3 linked regions of the Caenorhabditis elegans genome follow. The protein of the gene in region 2 interacts with the protein of the main gene of each other region in a pairwise test. Each region holds a gene or a part of one and is shown on either strand. Other genes may lie near its edges.

Region 1 (3,756 bases), on a different chromosome or scaffold from region 2:
CAACAGCTCCGTGTTTGGATGCACAGTAATCTACCTGAAAGCTTTTTAATTTTAAATGTCTTTATTTGCAGAATATTTGGCCTCCCAACGAAACGTATGAAACACCATGTAATCTAAAAAAACAATGTAGGCACAGGGATGCCTACGTACCTATCTACACACAAGTTTTTTTCGACCTTTTGTGTAGACTAACTTAAACCCTTTAACTTTTCGTGGCGCGGTCAACATTTTGTTTTAAATCACTTACCAATCCAGCAACACCACACTTTCCAGCCATTGAAGCAATTGTTACAATATGCCCTTTATTCGACTCGAGCATGCCGGGAAGGAAATTTTTGGTAGTCTGGAAAATTTCGGTATTCTCTTTTCAACAAAAGTCATATCTTACAAAGAACAAAGCATTTGTGTTAACTGAAACAGTCTTGACCATCAGCTCATCTGGACATTGCAGCAACTTTTTTCCTTGAAATGTTTTTATGAAAAGATATTATGGGAATACTAATTTCTGAGAATGCGTATTGCGCAACATATCAGACGCGCAAAATATCTCGTAGCGAAAACTACAGTAATTCTTCAAATTACTACTGTAATTTTTGTGTGAAGTAACAATGGGTTCACTGAACCTTTTCGAAAGTCTTATCATTTTATTTATTTTATTGATTTTTGTTTTCTCTCTTTATCTGGCATATTTCGCTTAAAATGAAAAATATGTAATACGCTAAACTTCGTATGTTTCTAAATCTCTACAGTATGCAATTAGCAAGGGATGTGCTTTTTTGCCAGTGGGTCCCGCCGCGCCATTCAAATTCATTTAATTAATACCATGTGTATTGCGACTCTTCATTGTGTCTTCGAGACCCGAAGAACTCGGGGGATGTCCAATTGGGGGGATTACCAACTCGGGGATTGGCCCCGCCCACAGAACCGTGGCTTGCAATACGCCCATTTCTGCAACTGCCGCACGGTTTCGAAACTGTATTTTTCTCAATAGAGCGAGATTTAACAAGAAAAATACAGTTTCAAAACCGTGCGGCAGTTGCAGAAATGGGCGTATTGCAAGCCACGGTTCTGTGGGCGGGGCCAATCCCCGAGTTGGTAATCCCCCCAATTGGACATCCCCCGAGTTCTTCGGGTCTCGTGTCTTCTACAGGAAAAAATTAACTCTATAAGGAACAAAATTATTATTTACTGTGTTTTTGTATTGTACATGAATTTTTCAGAAGTTTGGATGTTTTCAGCCGACTGTACTTACCCGTCACAATTCCAGCGTTGTTCACGAGAATATCTACTTTCCCTACTTCACTTTTAACCAAATCGGCGGTTCTATTGATTTCTTTGTATTCCGATAGGTCCACTGTGTATGCTTTAGCCTGAAAGATATAGAAATGAAACAGTATACAAATCGCAGAGACGCAGAGAAACGCACAACGACACTCCGAAATGACGATCGCGCGTTGTTTAGCGTGTCATTTGAATTTGTACTTTTTCTCATTTGCTTACCTAAATTTATTCAACTTCTCTTTGTTTCCCATTTTTGAGTAAAATATTTTTAAAAAAGCCATTTTCAGATTCTAAATCGTATTTTTCTGTAAATAGATGAGTAGCTCTGCGTCAAAAACTCAGGAAATAAGGTATATTCTTCGTATGAATAACTAATTGCTAAAAACAAAATTTTCAGCGTCGTCATAGATCCCCGTGATGCGCTTACAAACAGCACCAACGGCAATAAACCAAACGGCCCAAAACCGAAAGTAAGATCAGAAAAGCGGTAGTTCGTGAGAAACTAGAGCAGAAGGGGGTAGAGGAAAAAACTAAAGCTAAAAAAATAACTAGAAATTAGTGTTTAATAAAACATTTTATTTTCTCCATCCTACTCACCCAACCATGCTTTATCAACCATCTTTGTTAAAAAGTCGACTTACTCCTGCTCCGCCGGTAATTTTCGGAAAAAGTGTATTTTTGGTTTATAATAAAATTCAGGGGTTTTCTTTTCAACCTCAGCCTCTATTGAACTCAGATATGGATCCAGTCAGAAATTTAGAAAGTCTAGGGAACTACACGGTGTATCAAGATTCTTCTCAATGTTTTTGGCAACATCAAAATTTTACCTCCAATCGAGAGCATAACCCCGCATTAAGGAAGGTTCTATTTTTGGAAAAACGTTTTAATTTCTTAACACTTCAATATTTTAATTAAGATCTACTCATTCCTTGTAGTTTCAGACAAAGATTTGCGATCACTGGCGACGCTCGGGCAGCTGTTCGTATGGCGACGCGTGCTGGTATGCTCACGGTGAAGACGATCTTCGTAAAGTGGTCAGTTAAGCAGCGTAGGAAACATCAAAGAAATCTGGTTTTTCAGGTCCGGATTGATCGTTCGAACGAAGAAGAGAATGAGCGACCGGCTACTGCTGAAATTCAAAAGTCGCCGACAAAGCGTGCATCAACCAACGTCAAAGGATTAACAGTGAATATTCCATCGAATACTGCCTTCAAAGAACAAAACTCTTCGATGCCGTTATCTCCAGCTCAGGAAAGATGGATTTCCATGTCAATTGGAGCTGTACCACCACCAACCAGCTCAGCTGCAGAGAAGGATGCGATTTCATCATTATCTAAAAACGGTGTCGAGCAAGAACAGGAAAAGAAGCATGAAATATGTTCTCGTGACGATGATATTGACGATTACGGATTTTTGGTTAGTTTTGTAACTTCAAGAATAACTTTCGGTTGAAACTGAACAACTTGTTTTCAGTCTCCGAATCCGTTCCCATACCCGCAACAGTCAATGTTCTCAGCTGGATTTCCATCTCATGGACACCATCAACGTTCCTCGAATCGTGCTACGCAAGGGGTTCCTTCTCAACAATTTGGAGGTATAGAGATTTCACGAGGTTTTCTCGAATTTAATGAAATGAGTCTCAGCCCGCTGAAATTTTTATGGTAGTCTTTTTGAATTGTTGCGGCTGATTTCTCGTTTTCTTGAATTTTTCAAAACAATGACTTAGTTTTTATCAATCTTTATCGTTTTCTATTCATTTTTTTTGCTAAAATTAGTTTAAATCAGTTTTTGGAGTATAAATTAAAAAAGACTATCATAAACTTTTTATACGTCGAGACCCTGAATGAATCCGTGCGCCTTCAAGAAAACATGTCAAATTCTAGTGAAATTACGACAAGTTTTTCTTCAGAGATTTTTTAAATCAAAATTCATTGTTACAGGGCCAGTCAACATCCCTGGTCAAGATCCGAATCGTTTGGGATCTGGAGCATACCATATCCCACCACAGCACCAAAGATCAAGATCCAATGTTCGTACTTCACGAGAGGTCGGCGGTCCCCCTCCGCAATTTCAACAAGCGATTTGGAATGTTGCTGGTGAAATCTATCAACGTCAGAAGGACATAGAGATAGGCGGACAGAGAGTTGGACCCAATGATCGTCAACCGACTCAACAGAAAAATTCGGAAATGGATCGACTTTTGTCTAAACTGAAAATGAAAGATTTGAACTACCTTCGTTTTATGATAGAGCGAGGATATATCAACGAGCGTGACGTGTCTAGGCAAACTTCGGTGAGTGGTGTCTCAGGTTTTTCTTTTTTCACAATTTCTTTTAGATTTAAAAAAATTCAAACAATTTTTGTTCAGAGTGATCAAATGAGTAATGGTCATCACTTCAATGCTCCTATGACCCCACCATACCATCCACGACTTGCAGGAAACGGTAAGATTGAAATCAACCAAATAAATAGGAA
Region 2 (3,756 bases):
GTTGATACTCGATAACAATTTCCGTGTTGCGTATTTGATTTCTTATCAATATTATTTACAATAAAGTAGCGGAAACGTACAAATAAAACGTTTTAGTGATGGGAACGTCTCATTTACTGAAAATAATAAAACCCGGTATCGACACGACAATTTTTTATTTATTACGGTACCAAGTACGCATTCTCATGATTTATTGTTCCCGTAATAACGCGAAGAGGAGTGCGCTTTTAAAATGTACGGTAATTTCAAACTATCGTTTCTGTATGATTTTCATAGATTTTTTCACAGTTTTTCAATTATCTCAAGTATTTCAAAATATTATCAAGAAAACTAAAACAAAACAATAAAAACAGTTAAAGTTTAATGCGAGAAAAAATATAAAAATTTTGCTGCAACGAAATTTTAAAACTACAGTACTCTTTAAAGGTACACATATTTTTTCAATTAACAAACTTTGCAGTGTCGAGACCGGGTTCTGTATTTTTAGTACAAAAGTTGCAAAAATAACGCGTCTGGGTAAAATTTTCAATGTTAATTCCGATGGGGCTCTAGAAAAATCATGATAAATTCACTGAACTAATAAAAATTTAGAAAACTGTTATAAAATCTTAATTTTTAGAGGTAGAATTGTCTAAAGCAAAAAAAAAACTAAAAACCATCAGTAGCCAATAGTCTGAGCGAGTGTGTCACAACTTGAGTACACAAAAACGTTTCTTTTTCGCATTTTTTGTCTACTTTTTATAGAGACGCAGACAGAAAATCAGGGAAAATGAGAAGTGAAGTTAACTGAAGGTCTGGGAAACACGTGGTTGTGAGACTGGCGAAAAGTTTTGAGAAGAAAAATTCGGGTGATATTTGGGAGGAGTTCTGCCTTGAGAAGTTTGATGTTTGAAGTGTGATCTGTGATAAGGATGGGAGGGCAACAGAGACAGGTGGCCAGGACACAAGTGTGCTACTGACGTTAGCTTCTTTTTAAATAAAATTTTCAAATGTAGTTTACTGTCATTTTAGCGAATTGTACAATTAAAAAAATATATATAAATCCGTACATAGTTACGAATAAGAGCAATTTTAATAAAACATATGTTTTTTTTAAATTTTTATTCAAGATTTAAAAGATAACTTAACAAAATCTGCGGTACATAAACCAACAAATAGGAATGACGGCTAATGCACCGGAAACGTATAAAAGTTTCGAAAATTTGGATATAATTGGGGTCTCATCTTGCGCTTCTTGTGTAATCTGGTCCTGAAGATCCTCCACGTCGATCAGCATGATTTTAACAGTTGACCGGAACGCTCGGATCATTTGAAGAAGATTCTTCACATTTTGAGAATCATCAAAGCCCAAATCACGACGTTGTTGAGGAGAATATTCATCAAGGAGCTGTCTTAAAATTGACAATTGATGAAAAGTTTGATTTCCAAGACCGACCCGCAATGAATAAGTTGTCGCTTCATTTTGTGTACTCCCATTTCGGATTTTGTGAGGACGTCGTGGAGACGAATGACGCATACTGACTTTTCTCTGGAAAAAGGCAAATTTAATTCTTTATAAAATGTATACTTTTAAAAAACGCACAGGTTGTTTTCAGGGCAAGCTAGGCTGTTGAAAACTGTACTGGCATCCCAATCCAGAACTTCCGACTCTCCAGCTTCTCCAAACGCTGTTTCTTTTGAAAGTACAACTGGACTTTCTCCCAGAAATGAGCCAACAAACTCGGATTCGAACTTCCTTGGAACCTCTTCCTTTTTGATGATTTTTGGAGTTTCTTCTTCGACTATCAAGAATTCTTTTACATGGATCTGAGGTGATCTGTAAAAGTTAATATTAGAATTATTATTAGTTATTAAAATAAAACAAACCTTAGCTCAAATCCTTGAAATTCTGAATCAGAATCGTCAAAATCTGACATTTTTCAGAAAAGAGTGTTGTAAAACAAAAGAAATTTAAAAAAACTGCGAAACTGTGTATTTTTGCGTCATCGTGTTTGAACTATTTGTGCGCGCGCGTTTAAAAAAAAACAAAAACAATTATTTTCGACCTACTTATTTTATTGATCTGCCTCTATTTTACCGATGAAAGTGTATCAGTCGAAAATTAAAATTATGCGCGGGAAAATTCTGATTTTTTCATTTAAATTTTCGCTTGTCATTCATTCCACAGACCCATTTTTTCTCCCTCTCACCTATTTCACACACTAATTATGGAGCATTTTCATGGAAATCGCTGGGACCAGTTGCGTGCTGTGAGTTCTTGAATTAAAATTCGTTTACAATATTTATATTTTCAGGTAGAAGCTGATATTCTGTGTCCCCCGCCTGCAGATCCATTCCAAATCTTCCCCAGTGGATGGACCAGAGCCTCGGAGCTCAGCGAAAAGGGATGGAGAGAATTGTTTGTCCCAAAATGTTATATAATTGTTTCTATAATAAGATTATTCAGGCTTGACCGCAGAAGATCGCAAAGCCCGCCACCACGTGAACCATCACCAGACGTCAGAAGAGCGATCAGACGGACACCGCCGCCACGTGTCAACCGTGTGGCTCCGATTCGACTTCCAGAGCGGCGTCCATTGCGGCAATTGAACGCCAATGACGCCAGAAGACCAGCACAAGACGCTGCAAATCGCATAAATCAAGAGAATATGCGTGCAGGAAATATCGACAATGGGCAGCCACGTCGTCGAGCACTCTCCCCGACACAATTGCCAGGAGTTCGTGCGATTCCAAAGGACTTCAATCGCTTCTTCCGTGGTCTTCTGACACCTGGAGAGTTCTTTGCCAAGTGAGTTTGGATTTTCTAGCTGTTTTTAGGCTCAATTTAAATATTAAAATTTTCAGATCGCAAACCCGGTATCTTGGGCCATTCGACGAAATGCCAACGGAGGATACACTTCCAGCAGCCGACGAGTACATCATTCTGCAGCGAATGGGACGACTTCCGGATAGCGGTAAATCAATCTTCAGACAGGTCGGCAATCTGTCTACATGATTCCCAGGACTGAAATTGCTGCCCCTCAACGTTTTATCCACATTTTTCCAGTTGAGATCGCATTTTTATCTTTAAAAAATTTACTAAACCTTATTGTTGCCATGAGTCATAATTGTGATATACCTATAATTCCTTAATATAATCAATCTTCTTGAATCCACCCCACTCATTGATTAGTTGTGTGCAATAATAACTTTCGTTTAATGTTTGTAGTCTATTGGTATCGCTGTTTTAGCGTTTTTATGTTGTTTTATAATGAACCAACACCGTTTCCCCATTTATACTTGCGTAGGACAAAAATAAATCAATTGTCTATCAAACTCGGTTCCTTTCTTGTTTTTTTTTTGAAGAATTAAAAAGGTATCACTCCTGTTTCGAGACTATCTAGTGCGATGTAAATTTCGCTCTCAAAAAACCTACTAAATTAAAAAAAGTTTGCCGATAAAAGTATTATTTATTTTTAATTATTGAATTTTTAACACTCTTTGCAAAGTCTTGATGTTCTGTGAAACTTCAAATATTTATTTAAGCGAATCTGAATGCCCTTCTCCAAAAAATTGCATCCTATCAGTGTTAAATTTTGAATTCCCGCAAATTTGCCTACTGCGGGGTCGTAGAAATCCTCTTCCATGTGGCGTTAGTTCGGAGCATCGTTTGCAGTTTGTCATCAAAACTTTTTCGGATTTTTCTCAATTTCGTTATATTTTTTTGTTGATTAACTTTAATTAAAAGCTATTCTTCAGATAATGGCAGATGACGGT
Region 3 (3,756 bases), 2.3 Mb from region 2:
ATTGAAAAATCGATAAATCAATATATTCTTTTTCGGATTTTTTTCGAATTTCGGAAAATCGATTAAAAAACGAAACAAAAACGAGAAAATTAGATTCACTAAAAAAAGAAGAAATTTCGTTTAAAAAATTTAAAAAATGACCGAAAAACGGAAATTGAGAGATGAAACTAACAATTTTCCTATTTCTCATCAGAAAATTATCACATTAATTTAATTGCAGCTGTTATTTAAATTAAATAAAACATTTTAACCGTTTTTTCAGGTATACCTCGAGCGCCTAGACTCGATACGGTAGAATATTCCAACTATGAACATGAACCTGAAACAGATGAGATTTCTCGAGATGGAACACCATTTTGGTCAACACCAATTCCACCAACTAACAAAGAATTGCCGGTTTCCCCTGTATCACAATTGGACATGACGAATTCAATCAAGAGCAGGTAGAATTAATAAATTAGAATTTTCATTTCATAATTTTTTTTCAATTTCAGAGTGGAACGTGTTGATGTAGAAGTTAAACTGGAACCTTGCAATGACGAAGATGATGAATTTAGTGAAGAAGTTGATGAACAAACTGCTGAATTGGAAGAACAACTAGCAACTGAAGCTATACGGACTGGTTTGGCACTTTTTGGAAAAGTTTCCCCATCTCCAAAACGAATGAAATCATGTGGAAGTTCTGGAAGTGTTTGTGGAGATGTAGTCACAGCGATTTGTGAGATTTGTGGAATTGGAATTCGCCTGAATTCTGGTGGTTCTAAATGGAATTTCTTTGAACACGTAATGATGAAACACTCCACTCATAAACCATTCAAATGTTCCCAATGTCCATATCAAGCTGTACGAAAAGTTCGTGTAAAGCAGCACGGACAATCACAACACAATTCGGAACACGAACCTGTGAATATGATGTGAGTTTTTATTTTGAATTTAAAAAATTTTAAAAAAATTATTTTTTAAAGATTTTAAAAATTGTGCGACAGCTCTTTTTTAGTTGAATCACTAATTCACTGAGATTATTTTTTTTTATCTAATCTCACTCGAAAAGCATGAAAGCCGGTTTCTGTTTTAATTGTATAATTATTTTAAAATGTACGCAATTTGTTTTATAAATTACGAAAATTGCTACTAATGTTGCAGCTGCACCGCAAGATTTTTTTTTTCCATTCTATTTAAAATGGTAATTTTATCCAAATGTGAGGATAAGCCAAAAATTTATTTTTGGCATAAACCCGCAAAAATAGATTTGAAATTTTGAATAAAATGTAAATTTTAGAAATTTTTTTTTCTAGATCATATTTTAGACTAAAAATGTTTCAAAAGAGCATATTTAATTTTTTTTTTAAATTCAATTCTGTCGCAAGATCGCTCCATTAAAAAAAATTAAAAATGTTTGAATAAAATCCAATTCAGACGATGTCCATTTGAAAACTGAATTTAATTCGTTTCATTCCAAAATAAAAAAATCTTACAAAGTCAATTTTTTTCAGAACACCAGAAGTACGAAAAGAATGGCTGGATACAATGGCAAAGTGTTTCCCGAATCATCAATATGGAAAAGAAGCAAAAATTTAATAGTTTCTTTAAATTTTTTTCGTTGATATTTATAATATTTTCTTTTAATTTTAAGTTTTACAACGCAAATTTTGTTCTTACTCGATTTTCAATAAAATCGTCGGTCTTTTTATTATTTGTGGTAATTTCTTTTTTCTTATTTAAATAGTTATTTCTATTTCTGAATATCTTTATCGTGCTCTTGTAATTCCTAATAATATAAATAATATACATAGGTGTCGTCTTCGTACGATTCGAACCCGGCCGGGATGCCGAAATTTGTGGTCATCGAACTGAACGATGATGCAGCAACGATCGATCTTCTCAGTTATTGCGTGAGTTTTTTTATTTATAAAAATTATCTAAAATATTGATTTACTCATTTTCTCTGGTTTGAAACTTTGCATAGAACTTCCAATTGTACCTCTGATTCCTTTTTCGGTCCATATTAACCATTGGTATCCCCTAATTATTCGAATCGACTTCCTAAACAAGGGTGCCGCTGAAAAAATTGTCGGTTTTTTTTGTTGAGAAAATCCAAAAAAATTCACTTTTGAAAAAAAAACGAAAAATTCCGTTTTTTTTTTAAAGAAAAAATCGAAAAAAAATTTGAAAACACTTTTCTTATACGGAATTCAAAATTTAAGTTGATTAAAGTTTTTTTTCAAACAAGTAACCGAGATTTTATTATTTTTTTTGGACTTTACAATTTTTTAAGTGTAATTGAAAATCAATAAAAACTTTTTTTCTGAAAATCGAAAACAAATTTTTTCCGTTTTTTCGCTCTTCCAAAATCCGAAAAAAAGTGCGGTCTGATGCTAACCAAGGATTTCTTTTAAAAAATGTCAATTTTTCTGTTTGAGAAATAATCGAAAATCTAACTTTTTTTTGAGCAATTTTTGTTAAATTTTGATAAATTTCGAAAAATAAATTTTTTAGTTTTTTTGTCTAAAAATGCCAATTTTTTTGAGAGATAATCGAAAAACGAACTTTTTTGGTTTTCCGAAAAAAAAATCAAAATTTAATTTTGTTGAATATAAAACACAAAAGAAAATATAATTTCCTTCTAAAAAAAGCCCAGGCGCTGAAATTTCGAGCAATTTTTGAGAAATTTCGAAAAATCAAAAAACCAAAATTTGTTGAATTTCCAACAAAAAAAACCGAAAAAGCGACACCCTTGATCCTAAAATGTAGGGATTCAACATAACCTATAACTTCTATTCTCTTAGAAATCAGATTTTTGAAGTATAGACTAGCTTGAACATCACTGCAAACATTTTTTTTATATTTCTCCTAAAACCTCTACTCTATCAATGATCTCTCAATTCCAAGCTCTTTCTTTCGCACGATGCTCATTTCGAATTCGACATATATAGCTCCTTTTTTCGGTGCTTCTCCTGTACATAAGAGATCGATGAAATCAATCGTCGTGGCGCTCTCATAAATGTGCAGAAAGGAAGCAAGAGCTGCAGCCAACTGCTGCATCGGCGTCCGTATTTTTTGTTCGCTCTGTTCCCTTTTCCATTTATGCGAGCAACACGGTGATGCTACTTTCATCGACGAGAGATAGTATATGTTGAACGGAGGATTTGAATGTTTCTGTTCACGGAGCAACCGTCCGTTTTCTTTCTCTCAGTATCATCCTCTACCCTTTTTCGAAATATTTCTATATTTGATACTGGAAATTGGTTAATTTTCGCATTTGACAGGTTTGCTCATTTATCGAGATTTTTTAAATCTAAATTCTAAAATCATTAGCGACAATAACTAAAAATATAAATTAATCAATAATTTTCCTGAAACATTAAAATTCCATTTAGTTCTGGTATTTCTGTCCGAACTAATCTTGTAATTGAATAATCTATATTTCATCACAATGTCTTTCTTTTTCTTCTATTCTACGAATACATTTTTGCCTGTACGAGCTCATAATAGAACGCGTTGGCGCCTGCCTCACTTTCAGCATCGTCCGAAGTGTACATACCTCCTGTTCTCCATCATCGTCTTCTCCCATCCCTTTCTCTTTCTCCCATACCGGGTATTGAGCGCCTGTATGCACAATGCACACAACTGACAAAACTGTACTCGTCGCGTCGTTGTCGCCGTTGTCGTGTGCCCCGGCGAGCGCAACCAACAACAAAACTGTGTGAGCGCTGTTAACACCATTTCTTCTATCACCTTCTAAGCATCCCGGTTTGA

The links.
Region 1: the proteins of C05C10.5 (region 2) and gla-3 interact in a two-hybrid assay, tested with the Caenorhabditis elegans proteins (one large-scale study listed by BioGRID).
Region 3: the proteins of C05C10.5 (region 2) and lir-1 interact in a two-hybrid assay, tested with the Caenorhabditis elegans proteins (one large-scale study listed by BioGRID).

What each region holds. Positions count from the first base shown.
Region 1 is NC_003279.8:8,212,814-8,216,569, forward strand, and holds the start of gla-3 (C3H1-type domain-containing protein), read left to right. Parts: upstream 1-1,884; coding exon 1,885-1,935; intron 1,936-1,980; coding exon 1,981-2,142; intron 2,143-2,216; coding exon of another isoform or gene 2,217-2,222; coding exon 2,223-2,315; intron 2,316-2,361; coding exon 2,362-2,697; intron 2,698-2,754; coding exon 2,755-2,875; intron 2,876-3,221; coding exon 3,222-3,574; intron 3,575-3,649; coding exon 3,650-3,725; intron 3,726-3,756. Other genes in the region: Protein dhs-3, read right to left, coding at 1-34, 248-343, 389-462, 1,253-1,370.
Region 2 is NC_003280.10:9,937,020-9,940,775, forward strand, and holds C05C10.5 (uncharacterized protein), read left to right. Parts: upstream 1-2,020; 5' UTR 2,021-2,207; coding exon 2,208-2,249; coding exon of another isoform or gene 2,250-2,253; intron 2,254-2,294; coding exon 2,295-2,398; intron 2,399-2,446; coding exon 2,447-2,788; intron 2,789-2,844; coding exon 2,845-2,995; 3' UTR 2,996-3,413; downstream 3,414-3,756. Other genes in the region: C05C10.7 (uncharacterized protein), read right to left, coding at 1,124-1,391, 1,436-1,528, 1,583-1,816, 1,867-1,916; ufd-3 (Ubiquitin fusion degradation protein 3 homolog), read left to right, coding at 3,742-3,756.
Region 3 is NC_003280.10:7,670,217-7,673,972, forward strand, and holds the start of lir-1 (LIn-26 Related), read left to right. Parts: upstream 1-1,788; 5' UTR 1,789-1,826; coding exon 1,827-1,892; intron 1,893-3,756. Other genes in the region: lir-2 (C2H2-type domain-containing protein), read left to right, coding at 263-443, 495-914, 1,494-1,578.